2 linked regions of the Arabidopsis thaliana genome follow. The protein of the gene in region 2 interacts with the protein of the main gene of each other region in a biochemical or structural test. Each region holds a gene or a part of one and is shown on either strand. Other genes may lie near its edges.

Evidence for each region. Proteins that work in one complex are often made in the same cells at the same time.
Region 1: the proteins of BLH3 (region 2) and STM form a complex in vitro, tested with the Arabidopsis thaliana proteins (one study listed by BioGRID).

The regions. Positions count from the first base shown.
Region 1 is NC_003070.9:23,057,158-23,064,230, forward strand, and holds STM (KNOX/ELK homeobox transcription factor), read right to left. Parts: upstream 4,907-7,073; 5' UTR 4,566-4,906; coding exon 4,137-4,565; intron 3,677-4,136; coding exon 3,421-3,676; intron 2,731-3,420; coding exon 2,477-2,730; intron 1,849-2,476; coding exon 1,639-1,848; 3' UTR 1,425-1,638; downstream 1-1,424. Other genes in the region: AT1G62350 (Pentatricopeptide repeat (PPR) superfamily protein), read left to right, coding at 356-778. UniProt on the Arabidopsis thaliana protein: Required for shoot apical meristem (SAM) formation during embryogenesis. Negatively regulates ASYMMETRIC LEAVES1 (AS1) and ASYMMETRIC LEAVES2 (AS2 or LBD6). Probably binds to the DNA sequence 5'-TGAC-3'. Binds to RNA.
Region 2 is NC_003070.9:28,298,823-28,305,320, reverse strand, and holds BLH3 (BEL1-like homeodomain 3), read left to right. Parts: upstream 1-2,592; 5' UTR 2,593-2,918; exon of another isoform or gene 2,919-3,370; 5' UTR 3,371-3,430; coding exon 3,431-4,168; intron 4,169-4,246; coding exon 4,247-4,623; intron 4,624-4,700; coding exon 4,701-4,761; coding exon of another isoform or gene 4,762-4,800; exon of another isoform or gene 4,801-4,827; coding exon 4,828-5,226; 3' UTR 5,227-5,535; downstream 5,536-6,498. Other genes in the region: AT1G75400 (RING/U-box superfamily protein), read right to left, coding at 5,857-5,883, 5,971-6,498. UniProt on the Arabidopsis thaliana protein: Transcription factor that is responsive of the nuclear import of SHOOT MERISTEMLESS (STM).

The DNA.
Region 1 (7,073 bases), 5.2 Mb from region 2:
TATTTCGGTTTGATTTTATAAGCCTAGTTCTAAGTTTGGTTATGGAGTTTGTTGATGGTGTTACTGTTAATGTTTATGCTTCGGTTAAATTTTGGTATATTTCTGTGAATTCGGTTATATTTAGGATAAAATTTTGGTAATTTCGGTTTGGCAATGCCGAACCAAACCAGTTACTGAATTTCATACTTCCTCTTGCCGCTTGATACCTAATAAACTGAATCAGAATCGAATTAGCCTAACTGGTTTGGTTAAACTATTTCGGTTTGGTTTATATGGAGCTTGTTGATGTTTATGTATTGTCACTTGTCGTTGATGTTTAATTTGGTTTAGTGTTTGTCTTCTTATTATGTTTCAGCTCTATGAAGTAGTGAGGAGAGAAATATGGTACAGACCGGACATGTTTTTTTACAGAGACATGCTAATGATGCTTGCAAGAAACAAGAAAGTTGATGAAACCAAGAAAGTATGGGAAGATTTAAAGAAAGAAGAGGTTTTGTTTGATCAACATACATTTGGAGACCTTGTTCGAGGGTTCTTGGATAATGAACTTCCTTTAGAAGCAATGAGATTGTATGGAGAGATGAGAGAGTCTCCTGACCGGCCTTTATCTCTGCCTTTTCGAGTTATTTTGAAAGGACTCGTTCCTTATCCTGAGTTGAGAGAGAAAGTTAAAGATGATTTCTTGGAGCTTTTCCCTGGAATGATTGTATACGATCCTCCTGAGGATATATGTGAAGATAGTGATGAAGAAGCAAGAACAGATAGCGATCTTGAATAGAGAGGTATGTCTTGAATCAATGCTTGGTTTGGACTGTTTAGTTAGTGCTCAAAATGTCAGTGATGATATTATCCTCGAGGCTGACCCGATGTATCTTCGATCCATAGTTTCTCTTGTTCTGCACATCCACTAACTTCAGGAACCATGTCCCAGTTTCAGGTTAGATCAAGTGGGAAAACAAATGGAAGATTGTGGCTATGCAGAAACTGGAACTATTCGTCTTTGGTAGGAACAAATTATGGCTATTGAAAACTGAAGATGATGAGGAGCATATGAAGAAGAATTTGAGAAGCTTATAAGCGTATATATGTGTAAAGATCACTCTCAGCAATGCTAAATGCTGCTGTATTGAATCGGTTCAAGATAAGTCATATGTTTGTGAAGATACATACAGCAGAAAGCGTTTTAAGGGACAAAACTATTAGAAGTGGATTAAGTTTTGGTCGATCTTGTCTTTTTGGGATAGTGATGGGTCTGTTTGGGCCAGACTAGGTCTTTTGGAGTAATAGCATTCTCTCTTTTCTTTTCGTCTTTTCCATCCCAAAAGTACAAAATTTCGACGCAAATACTTAAAAATTAGCAAGGAAGATATACATACAACCAAAAAATGGTCCAAATTGTCAAAAAGGTTGTCAAATAAAAAGAATAGATCAAAAAAGCTTTACTATCATTATAATAGGAATAGGAATTTCGCATAACAATAGAACAACACAAAAGGATACACACCACAACATCAAACGCTTGTTCATCAATCGGAACATGTTTCATATGTTCCAAGTATACCGAGAACCATAGATTATACATATTATAAGCTGTTTAACGATTATAAATATAATGAAATAAACGTTTTAAAGGATCGATCAAAGCATGGTGGAGGAGATGTGATCCATTGGGAAAGGATTGCCCAAGACATTATCCATGAAGTAATGGTGAGGATGTGTTGCGTCCATTACTACAAACTGCATGTCCTCCGACGGCTTCCAATGCCGTTTCCTCTGGTTTATGAACCAATTGTTTATCTGTTTCTGGTCCAGCCCCGTTGATTCCGCAAGGGCGAGCTTTTGTTGCTCCTGCAATTTCATATCACATGCGAGAAAAAATCAATCATCAAGTGTTCTCTCCGATATAAGGTCAGTCCATGATCACAGCTACATCACGATTTGCTAGATTGTAAGGAGAACTTAGAATCCATCTACTCATACGAACATGGGTAATGACACTATACAAGTGTAATAAAGACATGAGCTACTATTGCATTAGGGTATGGCCTCATGCACCCTACTTTCCAAAGTTATGACTTGAAATATGTGCAACAAAGTTTAGTCTAAGTTATGGTACACAGCCATAAGATGAAATTGATCGTAGTCTTGACTAAGATTGACATATTATTCGGACCCTAAAAAAGGTATGGAAGCAAGAATCAAGTTTGTCATCGGCTAATAGACCAAAACAGTACACATAGACTAAATAAGTTCACTTCATTCAGCTTTTAGGATTTCAAATTATGCAAATGCATATTGTGCAATGCCAACATGAGCTAACATAAACTAATGTCCCTAACGATATAGTATGAATGCAAAAATCACTAAAAACATTGAAACAAGCTAATAGACAACTAAATTGAATTTGCTATCATATAAATGCTTTTTTAAAAACATGAAATGATTATTTAATTAGAGTATAAGGGAAGAGAGTTACCGAAGGGTAAGGCCATTTGTAGTGACGGCTCCACCAATCAAGCAGTTGTTGACGAGCTTCTTTAGGGAGCTTTCCTTTCTTCCTCTTCTTCATGAACTCTTGCTTGAGGCTCCCTAAGTAACCACTGTACTTGCGCAAGAGCTGTCCTTTAAGCTCTCTATCCTCAGCTTGTGGATCTACAAATTCATTGTTCATATCGACTTCTTCCTCGGATGACCCATTATTGTTCCTATCAATTGCTGTCTCTCCATAACCTTATATTGATTAAACATGTGAAAGCAAGACAAATTTGTCAACAAGAACATGTGTCTAGGGAAATGAAAAAGAATAGGCTAGTGATCCAAATAATTCAAAGTAACATGTTAAGTAGATGTGAGTTTGTGTGTCTATATAAACTTAACTACATTCTTGAAAAGAAGAGTGATATGACATTGTGTAGATATATGTATATGTGATTATACGTACAAAAACATGTGTATGTCTAAATTGAGCAATAGATCTAAGGACGAGCAGACTCTAGATCCAGATATTCTTTTTGATGCATTTGAATTAAATAGATCCAAAACAAACGGAGAAGAAAGAGACAAGAACAGTGATTGTTGTTGTACCAAAGCAAATGAATTCAATTCCAAACAAAACAAAAAAACAGTAAACAAACTGTTTTAATTCAATGAAAACAACTACATACACTAACTTATGTATAGATAGATTATACACGTAAACCTAGTAAGCTATATATAACAATCTGACACTAACCCTAGTAACAACCATCAAAGGGGTATTTACCCAAGAAAAATCAGAAAAAGGAAAATCTTTCTTAAAACCCACAAAGAAAAAAAACAACTTTCCTCATCTTACGTTTAATTTGACGCCATAATTAACAAGAATATGAATTAAAAAGAAAGAAAAAAAAACAGAGAACTAGAGAGAGAGGAGAGAGTAACCGGAGAAAGAGGAAGGTGAGGATAGAGAGAGGGATTTGAATTGACACTCGACACGTTGAAGGAAGACCATAGCTTCCTTGAAAGGTTTGGAGAGCTCTTGCTCATACTTAACGAGCATTTCACAGTAAGCTTCCATGAATTGATCAAGCCCTGGATCTTCACCTAGACATCCTGTTGGTCCCATAGATGCGGCAGCGGCTGCGGCAGACGAGCATGCCTCCTCTAGCCTCGCCACAACCTCCGGTGGTGCTCCAACCTTAAGAAATTGTGTAATTAGTAAATGATAGACATAAAAACGTTAATTGAACTAAGATAAGGATCCTCACGTTTATTGTGGATATATAATATAGTAAAGAAAAAAATGAAATAATTATATATGTCCTAATCTTCAAGCCTACATACAATATTTTGGATAATCTCTTGCAAGTAGGGTTTTTACAAATTGTTTCTTGAAACTTTCTCAATATAGGAAAAATTGTATCCTTTGATTTGTATATACTTAGCTGGGTTAAGTAACTAGTAAACAAAAGTAGATATCAAAATCAAACTCAGACATCAAGTAAAGGGTTATGTAAAAAGGAAATAAAAGGTAAAGTTTGGTAATTAGGGTTTCTAGAATCTTTCTCTTCTTTTTTGTGCAAGAAAATCAAATAAGAATCATTAGAGTTACGAAGAAACTTTCAAAGTAATTTTTTCAAGTTTCTTTCTCTCATCACCTTCTGACAATTGACATAAGCGGCCAAGAGGCGGTGGTAGTGAGGATGAGCCATGATCTTGGCCTTGACAGAGGCTGAAGAAGAGGAAGAGGAGCAAGGGTTGATTCCTCCTGCAACGATTTCGTTATGATGGATCTCCATTAGAGAATAGGCAGGAGCACAAGAGGAAGGAGAAGAAGAAGAAGCAACTTTGTTCTTAGTTCCTTGGGGAGGAGCTAGTGATTGAAGAAAAAGGGAACTACTTTGTTGGTGGTGTGACTGATATGCATAACCATCATGTTCTTGTTGTTGATGTTGATGATCATGACCATGATGTTGATGTGATGTCATGATGGGCGGCATCATCATCATCATAGGACACATCGGACCATCACTATTATCCCCGGCAAAAGCCATTGGACAAGAAGTGCTGTTGGAACCACTCTCCATCTTCTCTTTCTCTCACTAGTATTATTATTCACTTTGGCTTTGCTATATAGCTATGAGAAATAAAAAATGAAAATAACATAAAGAAAAAAAAAGAGGAGCCCCCATTGTAAATACAGCTAGCATTTATCATCAATATCATGAAACACATTAAAGTACTATAAATTTATTGGGAAACCCTAAAAGAGTAAGTAACTGTGTGTGTGTATCTATGGTTTAATTTAATTATTTGAAAATGCAAAAGTGGTCTCCCGGGATTTATGCTTCAACAATCAGCTTCCTTTTCCACATTGAAAATTCTAAATAGTGATAGTTATGGGGGAGAGGGAAGCAGCAGAAGAGAGACCAGGAAGATAAATCTAAGGAAATTATTATAAATAGGAAATAACTTTTTAGGAGAAACTTATTTTAAAAAAGTGTAAAAAGCAGACATGGACAGAGGTTGTGTGATCTGTGGGTTCTTAACTCTTTTGTGTTCTTCTGCTGAAATATGATTTCTCATTTATGCCTTTTCGGAAATTAATGTTGTAATTTCTCTTCTTCTTTTTTGAGGTAATAAACCGGATCTCAATTTATTTTTGACAATTTCTTGAAATGGAGAAAACCGGAATGTGCCTCGGAAAGTCCAGTGAAAGATATATTGGAATTTGTTATTTCTTTACCATGGGTCGGGAGTATCAAATCGAATGTTGTCATTTGGTTTTGGTTTTCATACCATGAATTCCCAAAAGTCTAAGTTTCCTGATGGGATATACGTATGCTGATGTTGGTTTAAAAAGTACATTTGTGTATATGTATATATGTATATTATATGGTATGTGAAGATATTATTAGGACTGTTGTACTCAAAAACTTTCTTAGATTCTCTCAATAATTAACCGATAGATCTCCATATAGTATAATTTACGCATTTGTTTCAGTAACATATATTGGATTCGCTTTTGTCAATAGGAAAAGATAGCAGTCTTAGTAATTTTATAATAAGTGATCTAACATTTGATTGCAATCAAAGTTTTAATACTATTGTAAATGTTCTTATGGGAAAAAAATGTTGTTAAGAAGAAGAAAAATGTCATAAATATAATCATAGAGTAAAACATGTAACTGTTTATTTGTTATATAAACGAAAATATTAAACACACATTTTACCTTAAAAAAAAAGTATCTTGTATTCTGTATTGTTTTTAAAAAGTGACAACTGATGGCTTGTTATATTAGACAACAATGAACCATTTGTATTTGCCACCATTATCATGTTCTCGACCTTTTTGGTCGATTGATTGTAATATTAGATGGTAGACCTCTTGCCACTTGAAAAAATAACCAATCACATTCAGACCACTAACCAAATCTATCGAGGCATTTTAATTAGAATAATATACGAGGCTATTAACAATTGTTAGCACTTCTTCGAACGTAGAATTGACTCAACATAGGACACATGTTACTATCAAGAGAATAAGCATGGGACACCTGTACCTGTTTATCCCTGAAAATAGTATACAGACTTGAGAAAAATTCATTTACGATTGACAAAGTAATTCATCAATTGTCAATTTGGAGGATTGTACGAAGGAAAATGATATTATGCATGTTACTTTAATACACAACGAAAGAAATGTATAATTTTACTTTAAATTTAATTGTCTAGTTCAATACTGTGGGAAAAAAAGAAAAACAATACAATTAAAATTATCAAAATTGATAAGTACATTACATCAGTGCCGTTTATTCGATCAACATTTCACTAGCCGTATGTATTGCTAATTTTGTTATCACTATTCGAAATATTATTTAGAAGTTGGATATACTATATATTCCCATACTCGTATGTCTATGTTTATAAGTAAACTATATAAAAATAAATATGTTAAAAAAAAGTAAAGACCAGTATAAAGCTAATTTTTCTTGCTTTTAGGTTAAGGACAGTGATTCGTTGAAATCAAAAGTCTTAGAAAAATATTGAAGAGAGAAATCTTCAAGGCAAAGTTTTACTTTCCCCATGAAAGAAGAAAAAAAACTCTCTCCTCAGCCACTGCCTTCACTGCCATTTCTGGCAAAGAAAAGATAACTGAGAAACTAATAGATAGAGAGAGATTACAAGGAACCCATCAAATCATATTTATATATTACCAAACTGGATTTTATTTCATTTGCTTCAAATTATGATTTATATATACCCTAAAATATATTTTTTTAAAAAATCTTCATTTAGTTATCCAAAATATGTTGGATCTGGACTAAAAAGAAGAAAAGAAGTGATTTTTCTCTTCTTTTTTTTTTTATTTTTTTTTTCTTTGTCTCCTACGCTCATAGAATTTTAAAATCGAAGTAATAAGTTCTCTTTTTTATGATGACAAAAAAAAAAGTTCTCTTTTTATCAATAATAAGATTTTAACCACAACAAATTAGGATAAACAAAATTAGGATAACGTAAAAAAAAAAAAGGATAACATAGCAAAATATTAGATATAAATATTTTTGCATATGTTTTCCTTATGAACTTTAAAT
Region 2 (6,498 bases):
TAGAACTGTAAAGTGAGTTATACTGAGAAGAACCTTGAAAGAAAATTTTGATCTTTAAAGGTTTCACAGTGCACGCCGTTATTGGAAGAACGTCTTGCCGTTTTTAATCCCTCTGGGCCACTTAAACCCGCATATTATTATGGGCTCTAAAAAGGCAATTATGTTCATTAACATAGAAACTCCAGTCTCCACTTTTAGTTTGTATCACGATTAATGAGGTTTAAGATACTAATGACTTTCACATCTCATGCACTGAAAATTTACTGTGTGCTACGTTATTTTATGTTTTGAAAATGTATTTTCACTGGTGGAATCAATCTTTATGGCAAGAACAACAATATTTCCCTTGTTAGTTTAAATACAAAATATTTATGATCATAAATTGTGGATCGTGCATATATAATTTCTCAAACGCTATACAGATAGAGACTTGAGTGTAACGCAAAACTCATATTAATCTGTGAACTGTAGTATTACTATTTACCTGGGAACATCTAATTAACCGTACCATAAACTCTTACTTTGTTGCCATTTACATGTAGTTTAACCAGATTGCTCTTGAAAATAGGAAAAACTCATGTGGTTAAACGGTCCGACTATTTATGATTAACAACTGCGATTAATTATATCTTAAGGATATTAATTATTATTAGCTGTCATACCATATAGCTAGGTGTACAAAAAGCTTTTTGTCCAAACAAAAGCTGTTGATTTCTTACTCGTCATTTCCTCATTTAGCACTATCATCATCACTCATCATCGATTCATCATCTTCTTCAAATTATATACTCACGATATGTATAATATTATTATTCATAAGAATACTCATCATAAATAGCTTTAGAAAACCACATTCATTTAACCTATTTTAGAAAGTTAAAAATATTTGATCCTTTCAAACTTTCCCACTGTATATACTCCCATATTCAACCAGCTGTGTGTAGGGTTTATCAGTTGTACATTTAAAAACAAACAAATAATCTACTCATAAATATATAAAATTTCATAAAAAAAGAATTTGTTGTAACACATTGATTCTCCTTGAAAGGTTTGTGTCGGCTGTTCCAATCTATGACAAAACCGAAACTCAACCAAAAACAAAAAAAAACATTAAAGAATAAAAGAAATAAACGAAATATACAGAAATTGAAATAAGAATAACATTTATTAAGATGGACACAAAGCCGTTAGCTTCGTTCCGTTAAGGAACGTCTCTACGAAACAAATTGGCGTCCAAGTCTTTCGTTTTTGGCCACTTTCACCAACTTCGCGTCCGACACAGCTACCTTATTTATTTCATTTTTCATCATCTTCTTTCGAATTCTACTTTTTCTATTATTTATTACACAACCTCCTTAGATCCTTTGGGACATGGAATCGACCCATCATAACTTTTCTTTTCATTTTATTGTTTTGCGTATAAATACATTTTCTTCATGTAGGTCAAATGAATCACTTGATTATTTAAGAAAATATGTTTATTTGTTAGTCAACTAATTGGATTTTTTCGTTCCAAGTAAGGAAATTGGGTAGTCACCAACTGGTTGTTAAGGTCCTTTAATCCCTCAATTAAGCAATTGAGCAGACACAACACTTCTTCCTCAAAGCAACATTTCTGGCAAATCAAAATTCTCTAGGCCTAGGGATACTTTAGTAATTTTAATTACTTTATATTCAATATATTGATTTGTTGACAATTCTACTTATATCTTTATTTTTAATATGTAAATAATAGGAAGATATTGAAAAAATGGAGTTAATTAGTTTCCTCTTTTGCACGTCACTTAATAAGAGTATGTGTGTCCAATGTATTACGCGAAGAAACAAGTATATAACGTATAAACAGTAGGAGACCTCAAAAGATGTTTAATTTTAATTTTGATCACAATCTTTTTAGAGAGTTCCGTCGTTATAATAATTTAACAATTATACATCAAAACATCATAGATTAGTTATGAAGTATCATGTCACGTAACACATGTTTCTCGTTCGCTTATAACCAGGGATCTGCAATTATGTAAAGAAATTAATAAAAGCATCTGTTGGTTCAGACTAACCCATGATTTTATCATCACAACCACAACTAATTTGAGATTGCTTGAGTTAATTTAATCTAACAAAGCTTTGGTGGAAAATTTTAATAGTAAAAAATTTCAACGGTTGCTTGAATTTATGTCCAAGCTATTAATTAAACTTTATAAAAACATAGAATACGAAAACTCAACTCTTTTCTTCATTTTAAAAAACATACTTTATTTTTAATTATATTTATTTGAATATAAGCACCAAGTCAAGTCAATGACAACACTGCACAGTATTCCTTCTGGTTCCAATAATATTCTTTTGTTTTATCAGATAACTTGAAATATAAATGCATATAAAAAGTCGCATTTGTATAAATATTCTCCATTATCTAACAATAATCCTATCAGAGAAAAGGAAAAAAAATATGAAAATTTCCGCTCACGCGTGTTATTCTCTAAATGGTTGGCACAGAAAAAAAACCAACAAAAAATTATTAATTTTAATATAGAAGCTTCGGTTGGAATAGAAAAACAAACAAAAAAGAATTACTGGTAGAGAATAGAGATTGTCAAATTTCTCCATAGGTTAGTGATACACTGATATTTTATTAAACATTAATTAAAAAATCTGGGTTTGTTGTCGAGGTTCCAATGATAAGATGGTTTGGTTCTGTTCTTTGTTAGTGAATGCCAAATAAAGTTTTAAAATAGTATCGGAATTTAATAAAAATCGTCTCTTGGGATTGGGTGTCTTCTCTTTCTTTCTCTCTCTTTTTGTCATCGACTGTTCGAAGTTCTTCTTCTTCTCCCTTTTTATCTCTCTGTTCCCTGATTCAGCCACATCCACAATCTCTCTTTCTCTTTTGTATAGTTTATCATCTAGCTCTTTCTCAGGTTTCATTTCTTTAACTATAATAATTCGATTGTTCTTATTAGTAGCTTCTTGATTCAAAGCTATATGATTGACTTGTTGTACTCTGTTTCTCTTTTTACAAAAAGATTTCCTTTTTCGAATTTTATCATCATCTTCGTCTCTGTTAAATTCTTACAAAAGTATGAAATCATCAGAACTTAAAAAAAATTAACTTTATATCTTTCATGATTTCAAACATCATCCTCTGTTTTTGTTTGCGTCACTGAATTGAAGTGGAAACTTTACCTAGGGTTTTGATATCTTCTTGACCTAAATTGAGTATTTCATATTTTTTTCATTTCTTGAATTCATCTGTAATTGCGGCGTATATAGAGATTAAGATGTTTTAACCTCTTTAAAGAATTGTTCTTTTATTTATCCAGTTTCAGTTTCAAACTCACACGTCTCTCTCTCTCTCTTTCTCTTTTTTCAGACAAAACATCAATCGGATGAAACTCACTTAAACAACAAAACACTTTCGATTTATTATCCAATGGCTGTGTATTACCCTAATAGTGTCGGCATGCAATCTCTTTACCAAGAATCCATTTACCTCAACGAACAACAACAACAACAACAACAAGCTTCTTCTTCCTCTGCTGCATCTTTCTCCGAGATTGTTTCCGGTGATGTTCGAAACAACGAGATGGTATTTATCCCACCAACAAGCGACGTAGCCGTCAACGGAAACGTAACGGTGTCAAGTAACGATCTAAGCTTTCACGGTGGAGGACTTTCTTTAAGTCTTGGTAATCAGATCCAGTCAGCTGTCTCTGTTTCTCCGTTTCAGTATCATTACCAGAATCTTTCGAACCAATTGAGTTACAATAATCTTAATCCTTCTACTATGTCTGATGAGAATGGGAAGAGCTTGAGTGTTCATCAGCATCACTCTGATCAAATTTTACCTTCCTCTGTTTACAACAACAATGGTAATAATGGTGTTGGATTCTACAACAATTACCGTTACGAGACATCAGGGTTTGTGAGTAGTGTACTGAGATCTCGTTACCTTAAACCAACACAACAATTGCTTGATGAAGTTGTTAGTGTAAGGAAAGATTTGAAATTGGGGAATAAGAAGATGAAGAATGATAAAGGTCAAGACTTTCACAATGGGTCTAGTGATAACATTACAGAAGATGATAAATCTCAATCGCAGGAGTTGTCTCCTTCAGAACGTCAGGAGCTACAGAGCAAGAAGAGCAAGCTTTTAACAATGGTGGATGAGGTAAGACTAAATCAAATTTGAATACTTTAAAGTGAGAGAGAGACTTTGGAGTTTTGAGTTTTGAAAACATTTTTGCAGGTAGATAAAAGGTATAACCAATACCATCATCAAATGGAAGCTTTAGCATCGTCTTTCGAGATGGTAACAGGTCTTGGAGCAGCTAAGCCTTACACATCCGTAGCTCTGAATAGAATCTCTCGCCATTTCCGCTGTTTACGCGACGCGATAAAAGAACAGATTCAGGTGATCAGAGGGAAGCTTGGGGAGAGAGAGACTTCTGATGAACAAGGAGAGAGGATACCGCGTCTTAGGTACTTAGATCAACGGTTGAGACAACAGAGAGCTTTGCATCAACAACTTGGAATGGTTAGACCAGCTTGGAGACCACAAAGAGGCTTACCTGAAAACTCTGTCTCTATACTTCGAGCTTGGCTCTTTGAGCATTTCCTTCATCCGTAAGTTTGTTGTTTGTAAGACACTTTCTTTCTGCTCCTCATTGCTTCATTGATAACCATTTCAATCGTTTTTGTAGATATCCTAAAGAATCAGAGAAAATCATGCTTTCAAAGCAGACAGGACTATCGAAAAACCAGGTTCTTATTGGCTCAATCTTTGGTCTTGCTTTTATATGAGTGGTATTCTGATTCTTGGCAATTTAGGTTGCAAATTGGTTTATTAACGCGAGAGTTCGACTATGGAAACCAATGATTGAAGAGATGTATAAAGAAGAGTTTGGAGAATCAGCAGAGTTACTCTCTAACTCTAATCAAGACACCAAAAAAATGCAGGAAACATCTCAGCTCAAACACGAAGACTCTTCGTCTTCGCAACAACAGAATCAGGGAAACAACAACAACAACATCCCATATACATCTGATGCAGAACAAAACCTAGTCTTTGCAGATCCTAAACCAGACCGTGCTACTACTGGAGATTACGACAGCTTGATGAACTATCATGGGTTTGGTATTGATGATTACAATCGTTACGTTGGCCTTGGAAACCAACAAGATGGCAGATATTCTAATCCCCATCAATTACACGACTTTGTTGTCTAAAAGATTCCTGAGCTTTTCACAAGCTTAAGAACTGGCAATGCCAGTTGATTGGGGGAGTATGATTCTTGAAGCGCAAGAAAATGCGCTCTTGGCATTTTTATAGATAGGGGTTATACAAATATGTATATCTGTAATATTTGTTGTGGCATATATAAAGGATAGATTTTGTGAAAACTTTAGGTGTTAGACTTTACATTTGTATATGAAAATTGAGCTTTGTGTACACTTTGGTAAGCCGATATTGTAATGTTTTTGTTTATAATCTTCATGATGGTATAAACAATACTTTTAAGTGTGAACAAACTGAAAAAGATTTGATCTAATTTCCTCATTTTGTTACAAGAATTGGAACAGATTTTGAGTTCCTCTGAAACTTGTGTAAACAACGAAACGTTACACAACTTTTTAAACATTCTCTGTAAATGGTTGGCAAATTCTCAAATCTTTTCTAAAATGACAAGTTTGTTTCATTACTGAAAATTATCCCCACAGGTTACAATGAAACACACAAAATATCCAAAAAGAAAGTTAAAACACAGCTCTAAAGGCTATAGCTGAACCTGAATATCTGTTTTATACAAAGCTTTCCTAAATAACCCGCATGCCTCTGATCCAGATGGAGGGGTTTCATCATAGCGGAGATGTCTGATTAAGTCCCTGAAATGTGTGTATTATTGGTTATTTACAGGAATGTTTCATTTCTCTAGCAAATCAGGATTGAATATTCAGTGTATGGATCTTTACCTCTATGCTTGAAGAAGACCGGTTATTTCGATGTCTAGACCAGAATCCCTTCTTCAATGCAGAGTCTTTGGACGAGGGTTTATTCCACTTGGAGCTGATAGAAGCAAAGTGCCATTTCAAGAATGACTTATTAGACGAGCTCTTGCTACTGCAACTAGCTTCCAGCTTGAGAGCTTTGCCTTCTCGTTTCCCCATTTTCTGGAATACAAACTCATCGCATTCACTCTCACCGTAACTATCTACCACACGGTTTTTACATCTTTTGTACTGCTTTGCCTTTGCTTCCGCCTCCGCTTTTAGGGCTTTCCTTGTTATTTTCGCAACCCGTTTCTCCCCAATTGTGCATATGGGACAAGCAGGATCATACTTCTCTATATCAGTAGTCATGGTCTCTAAGCACTCTGCGTGGTAAACATGACCACAGGCAAGAACAGCAGCGATTGGGAGCTCAAAAGTGGCTATAGAAGACCTCTCGGTTAGCAACTTTGAACAAGCTCCACAAACCTGCTGATCAACAACGGAAGGGGA